2 linked regions of the Tamandua tetradactyla genome follow. The protein of the gene in region 1 interacts with the protein of each later gene in a pairwise test. Links are inferred from orthologs where the notes say so. Each region holds a gene or a part of one and is shown on either strand. Other genes may lie near its edges. The genes, in order: OSGIN1 and CAPN3.

Evidence for each region.
Region 2: the proteins of OSGIN1 (region 1) and CAPN3 interact in binary tests that used the Homo sapiens proteins (3 or more experiments, as listed by UniProt). The two-hybrid records come from large-scale screens. The link is inferred for Tamandua tetradactyla from reciprocal best matches to the Homo sapiens genes OSGIN1 and CAPN3.

What each region holds. Positions count from the first base shown.
Region 1 is NC_135342.1:78,630,025-78,638,908, forward strand, and holds the start of OSGIN1 (oxidative stress-induced growth inhibitor 1), read left to right. Parts: upstream 1-5,330; 5' UTR 5,331-5,450; intron 5,451-8,884. UniProt on the Homo sapiens protein: Monooxygenase catalytic activity. Involved in regulation of cytokinesis; promotes RHOA activity, probably acting locally at the midbody in late cytokinesis.
Region 2 is NC_135340.1:56,185,151-56,193,539, forward strand, and holds the start of CAPN3 (calpain-3), read left to right. Parts: upstream 1-4,601; 5' UTR 4,602-4,932; coding exon 4,933-5,241; intron 5,242-8,389. UniProt on the Homo sapiens protein: Calcium-regulated non-lysosomal thiol-protease. Proteolytically cleaves CTBP1 at 'His-409'. Mediates, with UTP25, the proteasome-independent degradation of p53/TP53.

The sequences.
Region 1 (8,884 bases):
CTCCTGGGCTCACTCCCCACAGTAGCTTGGGGTCAGCACAGCCCACAGCCCACAGAGGGAGCTGTTCTTCCCTCCAAACCCAGTCCTCCTCCAGTTGCCCTTCCTAGTGGGTCCACCTCCCCCATCTGCTGGGTCCCCAGAAGCCACAGTGCCCGCTGCCCTCTGCCCCTAGCTGACCACTTTCCATTCCCACTGCCCTCTCCATAGCTCAGGCCACACTCTCCCACCTGTTCTTCAGCAAACAACCTCCCCTCCAACCCGTCCAGATCAGATTCATATTCCCTCCCTCGCTCACTTGCTCACTCTTCCTCCCTCTCATGCACGTGCCACCTTTAACCCACAGACTGAGAAGAGACTTCCCCACGTGACCTACCAAGCTGCCTTCCTTCAGCTTCTGGGACCCACTAGGCTCCCTCCTTCTGCCTGCATGTGCTGTTCCCTCCGCCTGAAATGCTGTTCCCTCCCCTCTTCCTGAATAACACCTCTTCACCCTCCAAACTTCATCAGCTGACCCCCCTCCAGGAGCTTTCACTGGCCTCCCGTGATTTGCTCTCCTGGCTCTGGGTGCCTCTTTTTCTAGGAGCTTCTCGGTGAGACATTTTACCTTCTAGGCTCTCCCTAGACTGGATGCTCCCTGAGAGCAGAGCTCAGGCTTGGTTTTCTCAACCCTTGTGGCACAGCGCTCAGCACACTCCTGGCACAGGTAGTTGCAGGGTCACCCAGGCACCAGGGTCTCCTCCAGTCCAGGCATAGCCAGGGGCCTCTGGTCTTTGGACCATGCCCTAGATGCCCCTCATTCAAGGCTTGGAGCCCCAAAAGGCTGCCTCTTCCTGGCCCTTGGCCCTGCCTGTTCCCCGTGGAGCCCTGCCCCTCCAGGGGTGCCGTTTGGGAGCAGAGCCAGCCCCCCCACTGAGCCACACAGGATGGCTTTTCCCCCAGTTCCGGTTCCTTCCTAGGAATCGACCACAACCGCCACCTGGTTAGTGTGGTTCCGTGTCAGGTGCTCCCAGCCTTGAGGTGCGTGAGGAAGGACCACAGCAGCCTGCACGGGACGGGACAGACGGACACACCAGGACAAGAGCTGGCAGGACTAGGTGTGGACCCCACACCTCCTAAGAGCCCCTTTAAAAGCAGAAAGGGAGTGGAAACGCACACCCGAGTCCCTCCCTGTAGTCCAGCGCCTGGCCTGAGCGCCTCACCTGCCTAATCTGCTGGCCCTTCCCTGGGGTGGCCACAATGGAGGGCAGGGTCCCAAGCCCCCTGTGAAGGTGACCCCCCGGCCCCCCGATTCAAGTCCTGGGGGTGCTAGTGGCAGTGGCTCCGCCCTCCTTGGCCTGCTGCACATCAGGTTCCCAGTGGACAAGGTGGCGCCTAAGGTGCTGGCTGGAGAGGGGCGCCTGTGGGGGGAGCAGGTTCGCGGTCATGCTGGGCGTTGTCACCCGGTGCCCACCAGGGGGCGGTATCCCCGCGCTTTCCAAGTGCCTCGACCTCCCCCGCTGGCATCAGCGTGTCCTGGCCGAGCCACACGGTCCTGGGCAAATGTCCCCGAGAGCCGCCCCTCGCCGGTCCCCGGGCCAGGCAAGGAGCCCAGTGGCACAGCCCGCAGGGCTGCGGGGCCACCTCCCAAGGCTGGTTGTTTGCCAACTGCCGGGGCCGCTGGCTTGTAGCAGTGGCGGTCCTGAGCGTGCAGCACTTGTGGTCGGAGCGCAGAGACGGGCGGTGTAGACATCACCAAGCCGAGGCATCCGGCTCCAGTGCCGTTGTTCGTCTCCTACCCCCCGGCCCGCGCTCTCGGCTCCCGCCACCAGGAGCTCCTAGTCAGCGTCAGGGCCTGAAAGGACGGGCTGAGCCTAGCAGACGTCCTCGCTGAGGACTCAGAGTCCCCCAGGCTTCTGAATGAAGGAGACTTCAGAAAGAGTAACTCGGCCACTTTGATTAAATGAGGTTATTGTTTTGTGCAAACATCTCACACACGGGGAAGCAGTCTGTGAAGGTGTCTGTCTCCCGACACACCAAACAGCTTTCCCCTCGGGCCTCTCTAAGGCCGGGTCCTTCCGAGGGGCTGGGACAGAGAGCAGGACGGGCAGGAGAGGCTGCGGCGCTGTGGCCGCGTGGGGACCGCCCGGCTTGGCGCTGAGGGGTGGAGGTCGGCTGGGTTGCGGCCAGACGCAGCTCTGCGCCCCTTCCACAGCCCCACGGGCACTTGGTAAATTTTCTTTCAAAAATCTCATTTGCACTCATTTTTCAAACGCACTAAAAGCACCCTCCACCCAAATACAACGTAGCAAAGAAGAGCGCCTTGGCGCCCACAACCCGCTTGCGTCGGAACTCCCCCGCTGCCCCGCGAGGGCGCCCATGCGGGGAGATGTGCTGGGCGCCTCGGTCACTTGCAGCTTTCTGTCCATGCAGAGCAGAGTGTGCCCTCAGGCCCGTGCACCGGGGGAGACGCGGGCGCAGGCAGCTGGCTTGAGTCAGCGCTGGTCCCCCGGCCCTGGCTTCACCCCTTTTCATCATCCTCAAAACAGCCTCGTGGCCAAAAGCTAAGGTTTTCACCCAAGACTCTGGGCCGGTGTAGCTCCACCCTGCAGGGAAGCAGCTGGTGGCGAAAGTGCTTCCAAGAGGCGTGCAAGGAATTAAACATAGTGGCAGTCCCCGGACACACTTAGACTCAGGCCAGGCTGTAGGGGTGCTGCCAGGGGCCCACACTGTAGAGGGCGCTGCATCTTGCCAACACATGCCCCAAGTTAATCCATTAACAGACAGGCGGGCATCTCTGCCACCTGGAACCCACCCTCAGTGCCAGCCCAGCACCCACCACCGCACAGCCTTATCCCCATGCCGCCGGAGCCCATGCTTCCCTCCCCCCCCGCCTGACACCCCTGAAGGCAGCTGCATCCAAGGACTGGGAAGGTGGGGGGTCAGCTGCTGCCGCCAGGGGCAGATGTTGCACGGAGCCCAGGGAGGGCTTGAGACGCTGATGTCAGAACTGGTGACAGCCACCTGTCGGGCGCAGGACACCAAGGGCTTCCCTCGGGTCACGGTACCCATCTAAGGGCGGGGTTCTGTGTGCCTGAGCTTCATCCCCCATGCAGGCGCCAGGGCCCTGCACACACCCGGCATCCTCAGTCATCTGTTCCACTGACATCACACCACAGCTGTGCACGCTGAGCAGAGGGCAGCTGGTCAGGCTGAAGGCGCCGGTGCGTTTCCCCAGCACCCAGCTGTGGGCCCTAATCCAGGCTTCATCACCACCAGCCGGCCACCCTCACTGAACTGGCAGTAAGTAAACGTCTCCATCTGAATTTACAAAACAAATGAAAGCCAAAGAAGAGCCATCTTTTGGTTGGTCTGCTTTTTTATTAATTGGCATTCCAAGTGAGATCTTTGTTTATTAAAATGGTTCTGTGGCTGCTGGGGAAAAAAATAAGGAAAATGTTGGACGTGACGAATTGAGGGTCCCTCTGCATGGCCATGGGGCCTGGGGCCTAGCAGCCCCCCACAGGCCCTTGGCCACTCTCCTTCTCTTGAGGAGGCCACTGCAGCAGCCACAAGGCTTCCGGATTCTGCCAGCCCAGAGCCGCTTCTAGAACCTTCTGTGGTCTAGCTTCTCCCACTGCCGCTCCTGCTGCTGGGGAGAGGTGGACACTTGCCCTTCCTAGGCCTGCAGGACCCGCCTTCCCTGGATGCACATGGCTTTGGAGCATCTCTGAGCTCACCCACCATCTCCTCGGATGCGTGCTCCCCTAAAATCACGGCACAAACTCACCCTGGGCTCGGAGGCCACGTGCTGGGGTCAGTTCAGGAAGACCTCCTGGGGGTACGGCCGGAGACGGATGCCCACTGCCTCAGGATGCACACAGAGAAGGCAGGCGCGCTTCCTCGGCAGCACAGCCAGCCCCTTGCGGATGGGCGCCTCTGAGAAACAAGGTCCCCAGGGCCTGGGGCCGTGTCTCGAGGGGGGTCCACACAGAGCACCCTGCCCGCTGGCCTCCCGGTCCTCCAGCCCGTGAAGGGCTCTCAGCAGACACGGCTCACCTCCACCTACCTCGGGTTTGTCTGTGGAGGAGCCTGGGCCCCAAAGGGGTGTCAGCACCGAGGAGGGGAACTCCCTGCCCTTGAAGTGGGGGGGACCCAGGATGGCAGTGCCCTGACCAGGTGTTGGGGGTGGGGGGTATCCCCGGAGGCCAAGGATGCAGTGGCAAAGGGTGGGAGGTAGAACCCAGACTCTCTCCATGCAAAGCCTCAAGGGCACTGGACATGTCAGCCTTGCCTCAGTTTCCCCCCTGCAACAGGAACTCCTAGTTCCCGCTCCCCCCACCTCCAGGGCACATTGTGGGCAGGTGACCTCCCAGGTGGGATTGTGTCTGAGCCATGGTTCAGGCATTTTAAATTTAAAACAATTTTAATGTTTTAACATTTTGATTGTGGTAACAGATATGCAACATAACATTTCCCATCTTAGCCACTCTTGGATGTGCAGCTCAATGGGGTTCATTACAATCACAGTGCTGTGCGCCCCCCATTGCCCACACTTTGCCATCCCCCAAGTAGAAACTCTCCCCCCTGCCACCCCCACCCCACCCCAGCCATCCCCCGGCCACCACCCCCAGCCACCTCTAATTTATGCTCCGTCTCTGTGAATCAGCACATTCTAGTTATTTCACAACTGGGAGCTCACACAATACTTGTCCTTTTGTGTCTGGCTTATTGCACACTACATTATGCTTTCAAGGTCCATCCGGGTTGTCGCATGTAACAGAACTTCCCTCCTCGCAGCTGAGTGAAACTCCAGTGTTCTCACTTTGTTTCTTCATCCATCTGCCATGACCTCGGGATGCTTCGACATTTCAGCCGTTGGGGACAATGCTGCTGCGAGCCCTGGTTCCCGAACAGCTGTCCCCTGGCACCGGGATGGCCGGGCCCTGTAGATAATTCAGGTGGTTCAGCTTCGGCGACCTGCCAGGGCCCCCCAGCCAGAGGGCAGCTGCTGCAAGTCTGTCTGTCTGCCTTTCTCCCTCCCCTCCCAGTTCACCCTTCTCCCTGCTGACTTCTGCACCCCTGTGCTCACCTGGCCCCCAACACCACCCTTCACCACAGGTGCAGACAAGCCCCTCCGAGGTGGGGTGTCTGCCCCCAGAGCCCTTCAGTGCCCACCTACAGGCACCACTCATGTGCTTGGCCAGGTGTGCCCCTTTCCGGATGTCCCTGGGGAGGTGGAGGCCAGCCTGGCAGGGCGGCAGAGGAAGGAGCCGGACAGAGCTCCTCTGAGGTGGCCCGGCCGCCAGGCAGGACTTTGTGATGCCACAAAAAGGCCAGCCTGGCCTCTTATCCCCACCTCCCCTGTGGTCACATCCAGGGGGGCCCCCAGGGGAGGGCCAGCTCCACTGCTGCCTGCTCTCCTCCCAGCCAATGCCTGCGATCCCCACTGCACACAGCCCACTCACCACCAGGTAAGAGGGCCGCCATGGGGGGGTAGACGTGCCCTGGGGGAGCCCTGGGGCCTGGTGGGGGTACCTGGAAGGGCTAGGTGCAGACCCCCGGCCCAGAGAGCAGGAGGCGCTCTGCAGGGGAGGGAACCAGGCCCCCTGTCCCGCCATCCCTGGGTGGAGTTCAGTGCCACCACTGCCTCACCGAGATCTCGGAAAAGTGCCCAGACCCCTGACCCTCAGTCTCCCCAGCAGTAAATGGTGCTAGCAGGGGTCCCCCATATACTGAAGCCCACCAGCCATGGTTGCTGCACCCAGAGCTGACCACCAGCTTCCCAGCCAGGCCCAGCCGTGCTGCCCAGCACCCCTCACTCCCCAGAACACAGCCCTTACCAGCCCCCATCCCCTCGCCACCATGGGCCAGGCCTGGGACATGGTGAGGAGTATCAAGGAGGGGGCACGGGGGCCTGGGGTGGGTTCTCCTTCTGGGGTCTCGTCCTTGGCATCAGGTCTCCCCGAGCAGCTCAGGCCATAGGCGCCGGGTGTCGGGGGTCAACCCCCCCAGGAAGGCTCTGGGCACCAGGTGTGCGCTGGCGGCCCACAGGATAAACTGCAGCCCCCCGCCCCCGCACTGGGCTCTGGCCTAGGGAGCTTCGGTTCTCGAAGGCACGAGCCCTCCCTGTCCAGCTCGTCCCATTCAAGGCACTGCCTGGTTCCTGCTCCCCGGTCCTGCCAAGGCAGGCAGGGCTGGGGTTTGAACCCAGGCCTCTGAGGATGGGTTCACTGCACATTAGAATCCTGGGGGCTCTGAACAAAGCCGAAACCCAGCTCCAATCATCAGACCCGATCAGAACCCCTGCACAGGGGCCGCACCAGCCCTGTCCCAGACCCATCAGCAGGGGACAGAAAGCTGGGCTTGGACAGTGGCCAAAGCACACGCCCCACACCTGCCATGTCACTGTGGGATATCTCCTGCACCCCAAGCCCCCGGTCCCCTCCCCAGCACTCAGGAGCTCACTGAGTCGCCCCAAGCCTCTCCCGTCCCCTGCCGCCTATCTGCGGGTCTGCAGTTTGGCAGGGTCAGCCCCACTCCCAGCCATGGGAGGTCAGTGCCTGCGACACACAGGGGCCCGAGGCCACAGCCGCTGCGCCCCTCTTGTGCGCCTTTCTGGCTGGCTGACATGGGGAAGGTCAGCGTGTCTCAGTTTCCCCATGTAAAGTGCCTGGGGCAGCAGCTACCTCGTGGGGATGCTGGGAGGACCCAACGAGTAAAGCGGGGAAGTGCTGAGCTCAGTAGGAGCAGGTTAAGGGGTGATCCCTCACCCCGGGTCTGCTAGCAGACGTCTTCCCACCTGCCCCTCTGCAGGCCAACGGCCCGAGCACGCTCGCTCGGGTTCACACCGGTGGCCGCTGGCCTGTGATGGGGAAGAGGAACTCACCTCCCAGACTGTCTGCTGCCCGTCCCCGGCTTAGAGGGAGCAGCCGCTGGCAGGTGCAGCCAGGTGGAGCAGGGCCGCACTTGCCTCTACCCCGAAGCCACCTTTGGCAAACAAAGGCAGAGGATGTGCTGCCAGAAAGGCTGATCGGTGCCCCGGCCAGGGCAGGCAGGGGCCAGGGCTCTCGTGCTCCCCTGGGCTGCCCTTCCCTGCACCCCATGCCTGGGTCTCCCTCCCGGGCCTCTCTAAATCCCAGGAGTGACGGAAGGGCTCACAACTGGGCTAGAACGGAGTTCACAGCCCTAACCTAAATAAAAACGCCTTTCCCTGGGCTGCAGTTGCCTGGCAAAGCCCTGGCAATAACCCATCACCGCAGGCAGTTGGGGACTTAGAACAGATCTTCTCCCCCAGTCTTGGAGGCAGAACCTGAAATGGAGGTGTCCTGTGCCTCCATAGCCTCTGAGAGAGGGTCCTGCTCAGCCACGTGCAGCTTCTGGGTGCCCCACCCTTCCCCACCCCAGTGTCTCTTGGCTTGTGGCTACGCCCCTCCCGTCTCTCTCCCATCTTCCCACAGCCTCCCCTCTACATCTCTGTCTTCTGTTCCTTAGTTGGACATCGGTCTCTGGATTTAGGGCCCACCTAGAGAATCCAGGACGACTTTGTCTGGAGGTCCTCAACTTAATTACATCTACAAAGACCCTTTCTCCAAATAAGGTCACGCCCGCAGGTTAGGATGCAGGGGGATGCATGCAACCCACTCCCCCTCCCTCCCTTCTCTGCAAGCCATGATGGTGTCTACGCATGGACATGGAAAATTAATTGGGCCTCTCCTCCCTGCGCCCCTCCACTCATTAGTAAAAGGGTGGGGAGAGGAGTGGATGCATAAACTTTGTAAGCTGTTAGAGATGTGAAGTCCTTTGAGAGCCCAGTCTGACCCCCTTGTTTTCAGGTGAGGGACCCAAAGCCCCAGCCGTTTGCTTCTGCGCCATTTCAGACCCTTCTGCTTCTCTCCCCGACGCCACCATCGCCTCGCCCCCGACCTCAACAGCCTCTGCCTGCCCTCGCTGCCTCCCACTTTGCCCTCTCCTTCTGCCCCAGTGGCCTTTCTGGAACCCTGCCTGGCCCATCTCCATCCTGCTGAACCCTTCACAGGTTCCAGCACCCTCGGGCAACATCAGCTTCTGCCATGGGGCCAGCCTCTTCCTCTCCAGCCTCCCTCTCCCTCCCCACCGGCGAGGCGGCCTGAGAACCACCTGCCGAGCCACTTCCAGGATTTGTGACTGGGCCTAGAAGCATTCCCCCTGCCCCCAGCCCTGCCACCTACAGCCTGTTTTGGCTCGGCTCTGGTCACTCTTGCAGAGAATCTCTGCGACCCTCCTAGCCACTCTCTCAGCTTCCCCGTGCCTGGCCACCAGCACTCGTGGGATTTGCGGCTGTCCTCTGTGGGTGTGTCCCCCCTCCCCTGATCGGTGAGCTGTGCCGGGACGGCCCCTGGATGTGCTTCCCCTGTGCTCTCGGGCAGATGGAATGTGACCTGCCACCATCTCGTGGCCAGGAAGGCACCCAGCTCCGGCCCCCTGACTCCCAATCCAGTGCTCTCCTTGGTCTCAGCCAGAGAGAAAGCCAAGTGGCAGCTCCTGGCGATCCAGGGCTTGGAAGGTGCCTGCTGGAGTGACCCTTCTGACGTTGTCTCCTGGGACAGGAAGGTCAGTCCCAGTGGGAGGTGCCAGGGGACCATGGTCATGCTTAAGGAATGCTGTAGGCCCTTTTACACCACACACACTTACTGAGCAGCTACTGTGTGCCAATCTCTGTTCTAGGCCCTTGGGGTACACCAGTAAACAGGATACAAACACCTACCCTCCCAGAACTTGCGTCCCAGGGTGAGGACTCAGACAAACAAATGAATAAATAAGTGTATAATTCGTAGCGTTGGGAACCATGTAGGAAAATAAAGCTGGGTGAGTTACTGGCTCATACCAGTGGCCTGAGAAGGCCTCACTGAGATGACAACTGAGCAGA
Region 2 (8,389 bases), on another chromosome or scaffold:
TATTGTGGCACCACCGTGTGTTGCTTCACCACAGAGGTTTTTTCTGAGCAGAAGACCTGAGGAGGGTGTTAACACTAAAAACTATGTTTTTATGACTAGCACTTAATTAGGACAAATAACCTGTAGAGACAAGGGAAGTCCTTATGCACATAAAAGGCCAGTTTTGTCACTTTCCTTATTCTCCCAGTTCCTAATGGAAGTGATCCCAGGATCTAAGTGCCAATATAACTGGATAGCAAGATATTCCTTGCCCAAGGAGGTTTGTTTCACTTAAGTTCAACCTATAGAACTAATTATGTTCTGGGGGTGTGGCTCACTTCAGAACCATAACTAAATGAACTCCAAGGTCATGATCCAATGACCAGAGCCAATCCCAGAGCCATTTCCCCCAAAGGCTCCCTAAAGCAGAAAACGGGCTGTTGCCATGAATTTGCCTTGAGGTTTTGCAGAGCCTTATAGCTTGGTTTGTTAAAGCCAGCTGTCAGACCTCTGTAGCTACAGGGAAGACTAAAATTCTGAATTTGGTCTGTGTGCAGAATCCATTCACTTTTCACATCTTTTTCAATAACTGGTTATAATGATAGGCAGCAGAAACACACTCAAAGCACACAAACATCTGGATCTGGAGCTTACTGGTTTAGCTGGTAATTAACCATCCTACCTAAAAGCTTTCTGGGTAATGGAATTCCTATGACAATAAAAAGGATCCACTCTGCCTCTAAGCACAATTCACAGGAGCACTCTAGACTAAAATAACTTCTCTAGGGGTAGAAAGCTATCAGCAGTCCACTAGAAATAGATTACCATATTAACCACAAAAAGTGGCAGCCATGTAGCTAGCATTCTAGGAGAAATAAGGAAGAGAAGACAGTGGCTCCTGAAATCAGACCTGCCTGTCTTATGATCAGCCTTGCTAAAGGCTGCCAGTACCATAGCAATGCCAACTAGAATTAGACAGCTGCATCTTGGCAGTTATTTCCAGCAGGGTGGGTGGTGTTAGATTCCTCTCCAATCAGAGGTAGGGAAAGGAGAGCATTAACTCTTTATATGCAAGGATTCAGAGATCTTTACGCATAATTCACATTAATGGAGTCTTGGTCATCCATTTATTTCTACGCTGGAAATCAGCAGATCTCGGGTCTAGTTTGAGTCTGAATGAACTGGCTCAGTGATCTTGGCCATTTCATTTAACCTGTCTGGGTCTTGATTTCCTCGTTTGTCAAATAAGAGAGAGACTCTTAAAATTCTATGAGTTTTCCATGATGTAACTGTAAAGGTAGAGCAGATATCTCAGAGTTCCTCTATTGTAAAATGGAATTAGTCAAATTTGTAGGTTGTCATACAGATTAAAAATATTCTTTGTGTATGGAAAGGAGAAAATAGTAACTTTATAGTGGAGAAACCTAGTAAACACCACCTTAACCAAGTGATCAATATTGACATCACCTGTAACAAAACATATCACTATCATGTACACCCATTTATGATTTGATGAGGATCTGTGATATTCTTCCCCCAAATCCATAACCTCAGTCCAATCATGAGAAAATAGCAGACAAACCCGAATTGAGAGAAGAGACCTACAAAATACCCAGCAAGCTCTCTCCAAAAGTGTCGAGGTCATGAGAGATAAGGCAACACTGTGGAACTGCCAGAGATTGGAGAAGACTAAGAAGACATGACAATTAAATGCAATGCAAAATCCTGGATTGGATCCTGTAACAGAAGAAGGACATTAGAGGGAAAACTGGACAAAGAAAAAGAATAAAGTCTTTGTGGTATAGTTAACAGTACTGTACCAATGTTATTTCTTAGTTTTGATGATTATACCATGGTTATATAAGGGATAAACATTAGGAGAAGCTGCGTGAAGGGTATACAGGAACCCTGTACTATCTTTGCAATGCTTTTGTGAGTCTAACTTGTTTTTAAATAAAAAGTTTTAAAATATTATGTGAAGTGGCTAACTCATGTACATGTTACAATTATAAACAAATACATTGCCCCAATAGTGTTGAATCAAAGAAATATTTATTGGTGGAAAAGATAAGGATATGGTGCTATTTGTTGGCCTTATTCGTACAACGGTAACTATTCCACCCACAGCTATTGCGTGTCCTTGGCTGAAATATGTTATTAAAACCACTTCTTTGAGGAGGCTTCTGAGAATTGAGATTTGCAGCTGTCTATTTGCTCATTATCTTTCCTTTGTTCCTGAGCTCAGATTGGATTTCTCACTAATAGCATGAGTTGCCCCAGCTGTGAAGCTCAATAAACCTTGAGCTTGGATCTGCGAATCTGAGAAGGGTTTTTATCCACAAATATTGATAAACCAAATTGAATAGCATCTTGTACTTTATGAGTTTGATATCTCCATCCTCTTAAAACAAGGGGCTCACCCATGTCAAACATTCATCTTGGTTACCGAACAGCTGGGGTTTAGACAGCAAACAAAAGAAATGTGTGGCCTAGAGATAATTCCTCCACTAGGGGTCAAATCAACCAAGAAATTCCATTGGCAAAGCAGTTAAAAAGTGTACGAAATGTCTCCTCACCTAGGGAAATTTCATTCAACAGATATCAACATATATTCATTCAGGGCCTTCTATATACTTAACCTTGAGGGTAAAACAAGTACCTAGTCTCCACCTTTACAGAATTTAAGGTCTTGGGGGCTAGTCTGGAGGTTTACTATACAAAAACAAAACGTAGGTCAGTGCTGTGATACAGAGCACTGAGCTGGAGACCAAAACTCATGAAGGTGGAAGAAGGAAAACCCACCTTTGCTGTCCATGCTATTGGTGAGTTTGAGGATGGAAGCCAGTCTTTGGAGATGTTTGTTTAGTGCAGGCCAGAATGTCGGCTTCTAGAGGAAACACCGTGTACTGTATGAGCCTGGGCCTGGTGCATCCATTGCTGGGTAGATGCTCATAGAGTGCATGCTGATGTGCATAAATGAGCGAATGTATCATTCAGTCCGATCTAATCCCGAGGTAATACTAAATCCAAGTCTTCTCTCATCATAGCAAGAACAACATTTATTGAGTGAAGACAATCCAGGTACTATTGTAAATGTTTTACAAAATTAGCCTGTTTAATCCTGGCTAAGAACTATTTTTCTCAGATTCCACTGTTTAGCTCATTTCTTCTTGACAGCTCTAAAAGAGATGAGATCAAAAAGAAGTATCATACAGACATGTCACCTAAAATTATAGAATCCAAGAGACCCTGTTCTTAGAAGGCCCAGGGAGTATTTGTTGATGATTAGCATTTTTATCCATTGCTGATAGGGTAATACAATGTAGAAATAGAATTTTATCTTTTTATTGAAAAAAAAAAGTTGGCCTGTTTCATCCTTATACCAATCCAGTAATAGAGTGACTATCTTTATGCCCATTTTATAGGTGAGAAAACAAAGACATAGGAAAAAAGGAAGAAGTAGCTCACCTAATGTTACACAGACACACAGACAGTAAGCAGCAGACCCAGACTTTGAAACTCAGCAGTCAGCCTCCAGAGGCTGCTCTCTGTTCTGCCTCTCCAAGACTACTAAATGTCCTTGGCTATTTCCTTAGAGGGACAGGAGTTTAGTCTGATGGTTCCTAAAAGCCCCAGATGTGGAGTCCCTCAAAGCTGTCACCCCAGGGATCATAAGCCTGATATTATTCCCTTTATCACTTATCACGTCCCACTTTCTCCTGTAGCCTCTAACCTTGATCTGGTGAGTCTGGTCACCCGGGAACAGGCATGGCTGCAATCAGAGACAAGCCTTCACTCAGCCAGACTTGGGATGTGGCCATGTCCTTACAGCACAGAGAACAGCTGCGTGTGTAGAAGCCAAGATAGAGGCCAGGCAGGCAATTCCCCTGGTGCTCTTTTCCAAGAACCCTGAAACCAACTTATAGTATGACACCTGGGGCTTGATGACCAATCTAAGTCAGTATCTAATTCCAGCTTCTGACTCAACACCTAGTGTCAGGCTTAAGTAATCAATATGTAAAATATAACCGGGTGCATTTTTTGGGAAGGATTTAGTCCCAGTCTTTATTTTGGGGGTGAAGGGATGCAAGGGGTAGCTAGGTCAAGTAGGTGGGCAAAAGGAAACTAAGGGTTTTTCTCAATCTAAGACTCTACCAAGTGGTATTTTCCACAAAACAGTACCTCTGAATGTTGATACCAGAACATTCTAGAAAAAAATAGCAAATCCAATACTAAGCAATATTCTGATATCCTGGAGCTTTACAGAGTAAAAGCGTGTTCTCAAAAATACCTAGACTGTTCCCCTGGAATTTACTATTTCACATTCACCCTTGCTAGTCAAAATTATTGTTTTCCATTAATTTGGCAGCCAATTATTTGATAGTCTGTAGAACCACCTATTCAATACCACATGAGCAGTTCTTTGCTAATTTTTGATGTTCAACTTAGTTACTCGGATATTTCCCCATTTCCTTACAACACCAGCATTTATTGGCAATACAAAAATGTCCCTGGCCAGATCCTTTTCTCTCAACCACATAGGCTAGTCTCATGCAAACCCTTCTCTTGCTTTCATACTCATGATCTTTCTTCATGTCTATTTTTAGTTTTCCTGGCTCAAGCTTCTTTGGGCCACTGAAACCCAACCCTCACTCTCTTGCTTTCCCTGAGGCATGCTTGCTGCTGGTAGGAGCCCCCCAGGTCAACATTGCTTCAGAAATCCTTCATTGCTCCTTCCTCAGGAGGAACTTAAGGCTTCAGGATCAAGGCATAGATTTTAAGATGGACATAAATTGGACGAACTTCTGATGGGTTTTCAACTTTGAATTGAATTGGACATTTTCTCTCAGATGACAGAATCACTCCAACTTCCCCTTTATAGTTGCTTCCTTTCCTTGGAGGTAACAGTATTTTGTTTTCTTTAAAAACCTGTTCCTTCCAAAGCTGCCTGCCATGCCGACTGTCATTAGTGCGAGTGTAGCCCCAAAGACAGGGGCTGAACCCAGGTCTCCAGGGCTGGTTCCCTACCCAGCCCAGGGCAAGAGCACTGAGGCCGGGGGTGGAAATGCAAATGGCATCTATTCAGCCATCATCAGCCGTAATTTTCCTATTATCGGAGTGAAAGAGAAGACCTTTGAGCAGCTCCACAAGAAATGTCTAGAAAAGAAGGTTCTTTATCTGGATCCTGAGTTCCCACCGGATGAGACTTCTCTCTTTTATAGCCAGAAGTTCCCCATCCAGTTCGTCTGGAAGAGACCTCCGGTGAGTAGCTTATTGGTTGCTGGTTGGGTTTTTTCCCCTCAGAGAAGACCTCCCACTCAGCACCTCCCAGCAGCCCAGCTATGACATGGGCACTGGGGGAAGAATCTTGGCTTGACCCTGCTGGCTTCTGTCCTCAAGTGTGAAGGGGGAGGAGAGGGAGAAGTCTTAGATATTATCAGATCACTGCAAAATCGGCTTTAAGAAGAAGGGAGCCAGGGCCTGATTCTCTTTCTCTCCCTCTCCCTGTTCATTTCTCTCTGTCTCGGTCTCTCTGTCACTCTGTCTCTCTCTCTCTCCCTTCTTTCTGGAATAATCTTGCTTTGTTTAAATTAGGAATTGGAACGATGGTTTAATTCATCCTATAAAAGTAAATATTCCTTTCCCAGAACAAACCCCAAACAGTCCAGCTCTACTCTTCCTTGCTTCAATCTCTTGCATCTTTATAAGATTCTTCGAATTTGGGGGGCTAAAGTCATGATGTGGTTCCTTAATTTGCTAGTAGCCATGTCATTCTAAAACACCTCACCTCATAAATGAAGAATAAAGGCACAACAAAGAGAAGTATATCCTGTGAGTATGTGCAAGAGTTTGGATTAAAACTCCTTCTCTTTTAGGTAGCTCCTCCAGCCTCTGGGTTTCAGTTACAGTGACCTGCCAGAAGGAAAATAATATGCCCCTGGCTGCCTTCTCTGATCATGCCTGCAGTGGGACTCTTCTTAATTCAAGAAGTATTTATTGAGATTTCCCCATGCCAGACTGGACAGTTGATTGGGGAGATAGCACTGAATAAGAAATACAAAAATCCCTGCTCTCGGGAAGCCTAGAGTCCTGAGAGGAAGAAAGGCATTGAACAGGAGTGATAACTAATTAGCAAAAACTTCCCTGAGCTATGTGATCCTACAGCGAAGAGAGCTAGCCTAGTCCCTTTCTGAAGAAATGTCGTGGCGCTGAAGCCCAGTGCTGTTCCTCAGCTGACTGCTGAGGTTCCAAGTCATGTTTTCATTAATCTGAGATGATATACACAACAACCCCCATCTCGTCCTGTGCGTTCCCCGGGGCTTCTTTCCTCTCCTGAAGTTATACGGTAAGGCCCATGACTGTCCTAAGAGCCCTCAGTTAGGGGAGAAAGCTGTAAAGAACTCCATTCCCTGACTCAGCCACTAACTTGCTGCCAGAGTACTCGGTCATGCCACAGCCCTGCTGAAATGTCTTCATTGATCTCCTGTGTCTTTCGCGGTAAGCCCAAACTCTGCTTTAGCTGATCTATAGGACCTTCTCTAGCTGGACCTTCTCCAGCTGTCCCTTACCTACCTGTCCAGTCCCATCTTTTCCCTCTTTCCCCCACACACTGACACAGCTGTGTTGACTATTCGACTGCTCTATTGTTCCAAGTTTTCTCACACCTCAAGGCCTTTGCCTATGGCATCCATGGTGCCATCTGTCCTTCCTGTTTTTATCTGATTCATTCTTCCTTCAAAATTCTGCTCAGGGGTCATCTCCTAAGTTCCTAACAAAGGGTATTTTTCAATACTGTTGCTTACTAATGCCATTCTTAATGACATTTTTGATAAGTTTTGAGTTTTATTATCTAGACTTGCAAATTATATTTTTAAAAAGGTTTTTAAAGTCGCCCAGTGGCAGAATACTCACCTGCCATGCCGGAGACCCGTGTTCAATTCCCAGTGCCTACCCATGCAAAAACAAAGCAAAAAAAAACAAAACAAAAAATGATTTGAGGTCTAGTATGCTCTAGACAGTTGATGGGTCCTGGGTAACAAAATTTATTCTGTCAGGGTCTGCATGAAATGAGGAGCACCAGACCTGATTGTGCCAAGTTTTTTCCACTACCTCCATCAACAACATAAAAATCCTGAATCACCCATGGGCCAAAATTTCACCCCAGGGAAATTATGTCTCTTGGTTCATTAGCATAAATTAGAGTATGGAATTTGAGAATGAACACTGGAGATGTGATCCAGCCCCTTCACTTTACAGGTGAGGTGACCCAGGTCCAGACAAAGCAAGTGACTTATATGTACAGTCTTCACCAATCCAAGTATTCAGAGACATCGTTTAGTCCCAACTGCTGCTGTGGCAGTCTGCAGAATCACAGACAGGACCCCTTCCTTACTCTCCTTTCTGTCAGGCCACCTTGGCCCAGTAACCCCCCATACCCCCACACCCCTAACCACACATCCACATTCACCAGTGTTCAAACCTACATGTCCTGTCCCTCCCACCCAACAGTCACCACCATTTTCACTTCTGAGCAAAGGGGAGTAAGACAGAGCAGTGTCCCAACACACTGAGAAAAAAATGCCCTGAGCAGTAATCATTCCCTCTGTAACTCTAATATGACTCCCTGCTCTGAATACTGCCATGTCTGCTGAATGAATACACCATGGGCGTCGGTTTTGGTAGAATTGGCTTTAGTCACCTGGAAGCAGTCAGTTATAGTGGTTAAGAGTTTGGGCTCAGAAAAGAGGCTCCTGGTGTTCACATCTCATTTCCACCACTTGTCAGCTGTGTGACCTTGGGGAAGTCGTTACCTCTTAGACCCTCAGTTTCTTCATCCTCCAATGGAGATGAAAACAGAACCTATCTCAGAAGGCTATTGTGACAATTGATCTTCTATTTGAGGTGCTTACCACACTGTGCAGAGCATTTATTAAGAGATCAAAAAAATTAACCATAATGATCATAAGGTATATATGTACTATATGCCCATTATCAGCCAGATGTTTTACTAGGTTTCTTCTCTTTTAGTAAGTCCCCACTACAACCCTGAAAAGCAGAAATGTTCTTCCCCATTTTATGGAAGAGAAAACTGAGGCCCAAAGTAGTAAGCAAAGGGGTCATAATTTAAACCCAGTTTTCCTTCAGTCAAAAGTGATGATGTGTCCACTATGTTGTGGTACCTCCAAGATACCTTGCCTTATAATTTAGTTATCTGCATGGTCCAGGTTGTGTGGGTCTGATCATCTCTAGTAGAACCGAGAACCAAATTTCCAGGACAGCCAGAGACAAGAGTGTGGCTCAATGGCAAAATAAGGGCAAGAATGGCTTGGAAGTAGGGGAAATAGCTGGGAAGTTATTTTCAGAGGTACAAGCCCCGCTACCAGTTTTCTTCAACCAGCTGATCCCAGGG